Neurospora crassa OR74A: one gene and its partner. The protein of the gene in region 2 purifies or fractionates together with the protein of the main gene of each other region. This does not show direct contact. Links are inferred from orthologs where the notes say so. Each region holds a gene or a part of one and is shown on either strand. Other genes may lie near its edges.

Region 1 (4,466 bases), on a different chromosome or scaffold from region 2:
CAATAAAACCGTCCGACTCGTAGGTAACGTCGATGGCATAATGGCAGACGGTGAAGGATGACTTGCCGAAACGGGGCTTCTTGTAGAATTTGTGCTTGTCGGCAGCGTAGTTGTGGTGAAGCTTAGTAACGAACTGCTCGTCGGAACCCATGGGTAGTCTTGATTCCTCGTCTAGAAGGGACAGGATACCAAGTTTGCCCTCGATAAGGTCAATGCAGGGCTGGTTGTCAGCAAAGTCGATGAAGGTCCAGTCAATCTGCTCCCTAAGGTATTCCTCCTGCTCCAACTTGAACACATGCTGGTTGAACTCCTGCTGAAGCTTCTCGTTGGCGTAGTTGATACAGAACTGCTCGAAGGAGTTCTTGGCGAAATGCTCGAAGCCGTAAATATCCAGAACACCAATGAAGGAAGTGACTCTGGTGAGGACCTCCTCCGAAGCAAGACTGTGATTGATGATTTCGACGAGCCAGTCGAACAGACTCGAGTAGATGTACTTGGCAACGGAATCTCGGACAACGATAGCCTGCGCCTGGGTCAAGTTGGACACGATCTTTTCACCACGAGTGACCAATTGCTTCTTGACGATCCACTTGGCAAATTCTGGAGCATCGATGCCGAGAATCTCGCAGGCCTTAACCAGCGATGGTTCGGAAGGATCGAGGGAACTGTCGTTTCGCATGGCACCAATCTTGACATTACCCAAGTGGAGGAGACCAGCCAGAAGCTTGAAGATCTCCGTTTGCTTGCCCTCGTCAACACCGATGGTCTTCAAAGATGCCTTGGTCGCATTGAACTCGGCCTTGTCATCGACGCCATCGATCGTGGGGGTGTTACCCTGGTTGAGGTACTCGAACTGTTCAACGGGAAGCAAGCCCAATTCCTGGCGCTCCTTGTCCGTCACACCAGCAACCAGCTGGTAGAAAATATGGTAGTTTCTTTCCTTCAACGGTTGGAAAACCAACCTCGATCGCTCGAGAAGGTAGGTCCTGATCTTGGCACCGATAATGTTGGTGGCCTTGTCAAACATGATTTCGATGTATTTACCGAATCGCGAGGAGTTGTCGTTTCTTGTCGTCTTTGCGTTACCAAAAGCTTCCATAATCGGGTTCGTAGCCAAGATAGCCTCCTCGGTCTGGCTCATAGACTCGTGGCCACCCTTCTTTACTCGTGATCCGGGGCTGTCGGGCGATTCTCTTGTCGCGAAGTATCTCATAATGTACTTGGCACTGACAGTCTTACCGGCACCGGACTCACCAGACACGACAATGGTCTGGTTCTTGCCATCGCGCAACATGTCCCTATTGTTATGTCAGCGATTACAAGTCAACATGAATCGTCAAATTGGCAAAGAGCCCATACATGAACGCTTCCTCAGCAATGGCGAAAAGATGGGGAGCTTGGGTTGCTCTTTGCTTCCCGGCATAGACTTGAACCATGCCTGGGACATAAAGAGAGTCAACCCGCGCGAACGGGTTTGTAGCTATTAGAACAATACCCGAGTATGTGTAGATTTCCTTCTGGGCATATCGAAGGCGGATAGCCTGAAGCACTAAGCACAGCACATGCTATCAGCATCACGTTCTCGGAGTGCGCCCGATGGCGGGGCGAGTCAGCGCAAAGGTGTGTGTATATTTACCAGCAGGCTCGTTCAGATGTGATAGGTTCGTCAAGTCATCACTGGCTTCGAGCATTGTTGGGTTCATCAAGGGCGGTAGCGACTCATGGCCGCCTGACTGGAGGGCCTCGAGGGAGACCTCCACGGTCTTAGTCTGCAGGCAGTAACACATGTTAGCATCTTGAAGCGCACCAGCCCGCAAAGCACGTAAACCAAAGCACAAAAGTCGGAATATGCCGAGACTTGGGAAAGCATAAGCTACCTACCTCGCCATTCTCGCACTCGAAGATAAGAGTGACCTTGTTGCCGTCTACTGTCTTCTTGACTACTTCAGAGGCAACCCAACCCTCGGTAGGATCGGGCTGCCAGGCTCGAGTGCCAACATCATAGCTCTCCGACATTGGATGCGCTTGTATCGGTGTATTCTCGAGGGAGAGAAAATCGGCGCGAACCTGCGAGTCAGGAGCAAGGGGGAAGAGATGTTGTGGTGGGATTTGGATGGCTTCAAGAAGCCAGTTCTAGCGGCGGAACGGCCAGCACGGCTAGGGGCGACGGGGGTGGATAGGGATAATGGTGGACCGTGTCTGTTATGGCGGACGCAACGACCGGAATGAAGAGCGGTCCAGGATGCTAGTTCGGTCGCGGAAGCTTGGAATCCAAGGGCCGGCGGGAGTGTGGTGCTGGCGAAGACAACATTCACGAAGGGAATGGAAGAGGGGGAAATTAGATACAAAAATAGGGATTGGACGTGGAGCAACACATTAAAGAAGTATAGAAAGATGTTGCTATCGTGCGGGCAACGGAGCCCAAGCCGACAAACAAGGTGGTCGAAGACGATGTAGGTCTAGGAGTTCGAAAGGGGGTTCGGCTCGTGTCGTCGGACCGATGGGAGTGTAGCGCGGGCTGTTCTTGGACGAAACAGCTGAAAGATGTTGTTGTTGCTTTTGTTGTTTGCTTTGCGTGCCCAAGGGAGCTAGCTGGTAGGTGTTTGGCTGACCGGGAATAGGTCAGGTCCTGTCACTGTGTGTAGGACAGGAAGGTTGTGGAATGCCGTATAAACGGGGCGGGCAGAACGGGCGGAGCGGGGACCCAACACACTGCCTTGCGGTGGGAGAACGGATTCGTCGAGCGGTCGAGTCGGGTTCTCTTAACGGTGGCAGCCTCTCTGTATAGAAGTGGCTGATGGTCGAGATAGCACCTGTGGATGAGGGAACGTCCTTGATGTAGTAGCCTGTCGGGCCGGTGTGGTCAACAACCAAGTCAAAAGTCGGGGTAGGCGAGAAGGCGGGACGACGAGACGGGATGTCGTTGAAAGTTTAGGGGTAGGCTTCCGCTTGTAGTGTAGCTGAGGTGCCCGGTGATGATAGAGCACTGGCGGGCCGTCGTGGTGGCAGGCTAACAGCCCGGCCGACGTTCACTTCCGTTGACAGGGGCCCCGTTGTTGTGGATGTTGAGGTGGTCGGTCTTTGGCGGCCACCGCCCAATTGGGTGCGTCGCTGGGCTCGTTGCATTAACACCGAAGCACGGACTCTTTCGTGGGCTTGGGGAGCTGGACTCCATGGAGCCCCTCCAATGAGCCGTAATTCCCAAATGACCTGGACAAGCAGGGCTCTCCTTAAAAGGGGGCACTAACCAACACTGCGAAGAAGATTACATACCTAGAGGTATGCTTGGGAATCCCGCGACTCTACATAAGTGGAAAGCTACATAGTACACAGACAAGGCGAAGAAGAACAATGGGTGACTGGCACCTCTAAGCAGCGTATAAGGGTTACCTTTGTCTTGTCCGGAGAGGTGTCCAGTGGAAGACGACATGATGTACAAGATGGGTCACGATGTCCAAGTCTACACTCTACCTTGAGATGTACAAATGTGTCTCTGGAGGCTCACGCCAATGGGTGAATAACCGTCAGGATATCCTATGAGGACGACCATGTTTCTCCTCCTGATCTATAGCCCTCTTGATTTGTATGGCTTCATCGTTCTCATTATGTACGGTCTTTGGTCTTCCCCTGAGTTTCTGTATTTCTCCCCGACAGCTCACCGGCGCCCCTCATCAGGGTAGCATTTCGTTTACACAACTCCCTGAAGGAACTCACGGAAGTAAGGCCCAATCTTACCAGACTCCCATGGCCAATTGTTTGCACTGGTCCGTTCGTTCGTTCATTTGTTCGTTCGATATGCCATCCAACTGGGTCCCCGTCTGGCCCGTCTGCCCGCTTGTTGACAGTTGAAATGCATTAACCTGTCCGCCTGAAAAGGAGAGAGATGGGCAAACTCAAAATGGGGCATAGTGTAAATACGTACCAATACCTCTATGGCATTGATGGGTGGACCGGGCTGAGTCTGGCACCATGACAATCAATTGCATTTGCGTTCAGTTCCTTCTTCTCTTCTTTCTGGAATCTGCAGGGGTAAAAAGAGCGCCAGCGAATGGCGGGTCGTCAAAGACTGTGGAAACTGTTGGAGACTACCTACTTACGGGCCCCACCAGGCCCCCCGTGCGGCCGGCAGCCCGAGTATCGGGGCCTGGGACTTGGGAGGAAAAAAAAAGGGGAGGGGGGGGGGGGGGGGGGGGGAGAAAGGCGGTGCTTTTGGTGGTTTGCCGCCGACTCCGCGTCGTCGCCGCCTTTTGTCTGCTCCGTGGCCGGATTGACGACGAGTGACTACTGTTACAATTCAGAGTCAACACCGTCCCTCACTCGGACGTCATCCACCGGTGTGTTGGGAATGAGTCTGTTTCGGTGATAATGACACCCATGACGGTGACTGACATGATGCCGGCCCGATGCTGTTCTGCTTCGTGAGCAAACCGTTCTGTTTAATAATTCCATCCGCTGGTTAGTAAGGC
Region 2 (3,324 bases):
GGTGTTGTCGTCGAATTCGAATTGCTCAATGTAGTCTTCTGTCGATAGCAGTTGGGCTTCTTCGTCTTCTGATGGTTGGTGGTCGTCGTTGGCTTGGGTCCGGGAGGAACTCGAGACAGGTAGGGGGGGATGATAGTCGTCATCGTCGTCTGTTTGGTGTACGCCGCTGTACTGGGCCTGGTGTGCGTGTTTCAGATCCATGTTGTAGTCATATCAACGGTGCTATTTAGAGGCGTTTGTAAAGGTTAGGTATTGAGTAGCGGGTTCTGACTGCGTGTCTGCAGTTTGATGGTGTTCTGAGGCAAGATGTTCACCACAATGCGAATATTGAGTTGCAGTGACTGCGTGAATTAAGGACAAAATGTACGAATGAAATGAATGTAACCGGAATCCTCGGAAACGAACGCAAAAATTGATTAGAAAGATGTCATATCACAAGCACATTCTGACAAAGTATAATGTTTCTGCAACGGAAAAAAGGTAAGACGGAGAAAGGAGATGGACAAAGTTGAAGTTCGATTCAGCTGGGCTAAAAGATCAGTGACCCCAGTTCAACCAATGGCATGACCGCTGGCTTCCAAGGCGAGCAAGGGTAGCATGGCATAGAACGAGAATGGGCAAGATTTGCCATACCACCTCATGACTTGGACCCTTTGCGGTCATATCTCTGGTGCTGTATCAACTTAAAAACTGTCTTGTCCACTTGGACGTTGGTCCTATTACAGCATCTTCATCCTTACACAACCCGTTCCCATCGGCTTCTGTTGCATTATACAAATTTTGGTATGGAGTCGTGATATCAAACGTGGGATATAATTACAGGTACATGTCATACATCAGCTGCGGAATCAAAAAGCCGTCCCGCAGCCTCGAATCCTCTCGCCTTTTCCTTGTTGGATTTTCCATTCCTCGTGACAGTATCTCATCTCTCCCCATTTATTGGGCATCGACGAAGCCCTTGAGGTTGTTGAGCCACCTGAGGTACTCCTTCTGCTCCTTCATGTCAAGGTAGTCGGGAACGAAGAGGGCAAGGGCCTGGTTGATGCCACGGTCCTCGAGGTAGCGCTCCATGAGGACCTGGAGATCCTCGTCGAGGGTACCGAAGGGAGGGCCAGGGTAGACAGCCTGGGCAGCGTGCTGGGTCTCGGCGCTCTCACCGTGAGCGAGCTTGGCGTCGTGGTAGTAGAACATGTTGTCGACAACAATGGAGCCGTCCTGGGCAACGGCGTCGATGTTGAGGGCACCCTTGCTGGGCTTCTCAATGACGATGTTGAGACGGACGGGAGCGCCGCCGTCCTCACCCATGTCCTCCTCGTTCTGGGCACCCTCCTCGTCACCGAGAGCCGTGTCCTCGTCGAACATGCCAGGCTCGTAGTTCTGGAGGTCGGCGATGGAAAAGGAGATGGTGATCCTGGCGTACCTTGGTCAGCGCATGGTTCTTGATCGAAGTCATGTTGGGGGTTCAACTTACTGCTCGTTGCCAAAGGTGCGCTTCAGGACAACGTCCTCCTTGCCGGGGGTATCGACAAGCTCAAAGGGGCCGTTCTCAAGGAAATCCTTGACGGTGGCGGGAACGGGCTCGTTGGAGGCAATGTCCTGCTCATAGCCAATCTCGGTGGAGAGCTTCTCGGAGAGCTCAGAGTCGATCTCGGTGGCGGCAGCGCGGAAGACGGTGGTCGAGAAAGCCTTCTGGGGGAGCTGGGTCCTGAGAACGTTGCTGGTAGCGCGGACGGTGGCGCGGCCGAGGGTGATGGGAGAAGCAGAGACGGCACGGAGAGCACGGGGCGCAGTGGTGCGCGCGACAGCACGAAGAGACATCATCTTGACGGATTTGGTGGGGGGTAGTTTGTTGACTGTAGATTGGAAATTCGGGTCCGATCGTGTTGTTGCGCGTTGGGACAGAGGAGTGTTGTCGAGGACGGAAGCTGGGGTAAGTGAGTGGACGAAGACTGGAGCGAGACGAAAAGATGGGTAACGTGAGTGATGGAGAAATTCGATGACAATCCACGATGGATGGTTTTGATCATTGGATCCGCTCGCTGAAAGCTCCACGAACCTGTGCCGAGAGCAGCTGAGTGGTCCCGTCTCCAGAAATCTTCAAAAGCTCTGCAGTAGCTAGCGCAAAAAAATGCCGAGCACAGACCATCCAATGAGGCCCCGGCTGCGGGGACAAGAGGCAAGAACCCCATCGATAAAGCGTAGCGCCAGCCGATAAGCTCCCACCTAGCGGAAGTTCCCCCACAATGACGCTTTGGACCCACTAAAATTTTGTCAGTCTTCAGTTGAGGTTCAGGTGCGCGTAACAACGGGCGGCCTACCTCCAGCTCCATCTTCGACTACTCACATCGCGCCCAGAGGATAATTGTTCATCAATAGCTTATTTTAGTCGACTATATACGGAACTGATGGTCTGCTTTTACGATTTGTTTCCTCAACGCCATACCACTTAACACCTTTATAAGTTCTAGCTATTCTACCAACAAGTAAAGGGTCCAGCATTCTTCTGTTCCAGGGTCCAGATCGGCTCGACTGGATCCACACTTAACAAACATGGCTGCCAGGAACCGAGTGCCTTGGATGCCTCGGATCGATACGACAAATGACATGACCAATGCCAGCAATACCCACGCGAACAATCTGATCTATATGAACCGCCCATCATATCTCCCCAAGTCTGCCCTCATCTTCCCCATCCTCCTCAACCTCCTTTCGAGATCCTGTTGTTGTCCCTGTTGCTGTTGCTCTGATACCGGTAATGCTGCCGGTCCAGGCACGTACTCCCTCCCTTGTCCTTGCAACATCATCAATGTCGTCGTCGTCGTCGTCGTCTGTCCTGATACCGAGATCCGTCTCTGCTGCTGCCCCCTGTCATAAACACCACCACTGCCACCACCCCCTCCAACTCCATGGTGATAGTTGTTATTGTTGTTGTATCCATACATGGAGTTCACACCTTGCGCTCCAATGGGTACACTAACACTAACACTGCTCCCCCTCCTCCTTGGTCCTCCGCCTGTGCTGCCACTCGAGGTGCTACTCCCACTGCCACTACTGCTTCGAGACCGGGATGCCGGGAGGGTTGCTTCGTCCTGGCATTGCCAGCACTTGTACCCCGTCTGATCTCGTTGGCCGGAAACCCCGGATAGGCAGGAGCCAAAGATGCCGCTGCCGCTGTTCCTGGCTACGGAACAGAGTTGTTCTGAAATGAGGACTGTGTCCTCGCTGCTGCACCGGCGGCACACGCGGATGTGGGTCTTGTAGGTGCACATTTGCTTCGTCTCTGGTCTTGGGTGCCGTAGTGTGTGCCCGGTCAAGTCAACCAAG

Evidence for each region.
Region 1: the proteins of NCU06086 (region 2) and NCU01440 purify together in Saccharomyces cerevisiae (affinity purification with mass spectrometry; 3 studies listed by BioGRID). This does not show direct contact. The link is inferred for Neurospora crassa OR74A from reciprocal best matches to the Saccharomyces cerevisiae genes MAM33 and MYO2.

Annotation. Positions count from the first base shown.
Region 1 is NC_026505.1:4,738,334-4,742,799, forward strand, and holds the start of NCU01440 (myosin-2), read right to left. Parts: upstream 2,973-4,466; 5' UTR 2,017-2,972; coding exon 1,882-2,016; intron 1,770-1,881; coding exon 1,637-1,769; intron 1,550-1,636; coding exon 1,360-1,549; intron 1,299-1,359; coding exon 1-1,298. UniProt on the Saccharomyces cerevisiae protein: Myosin heavy chain that is required for the cell cycle-regulated transport of various organelles and proteins for their segregation.
Region 2 is NC_026507.1:1,859,791-1,863,114, reverse strand, and holds NCU06086 (regulatory protein suaprga1), read right to left. Parts: upstream 2,025-3,324; 5' UTR 1,822-2,024; coding exon 1,472-1,821; intron 1,412-1,471; coding exon 937-1,411; 3' UTR 719-936; downstream 1-718. Other genes in the region: NCU06085 (LCCL domain-containing protein), read right to left, coding at 1-201; NCU17215 (hypothetical protein), read right to left, coding at 2,643-3,269. UniProt on the Saccharomyces cerevisiae protein: Not known. Binds to the sorting sequence of cytochrome b2.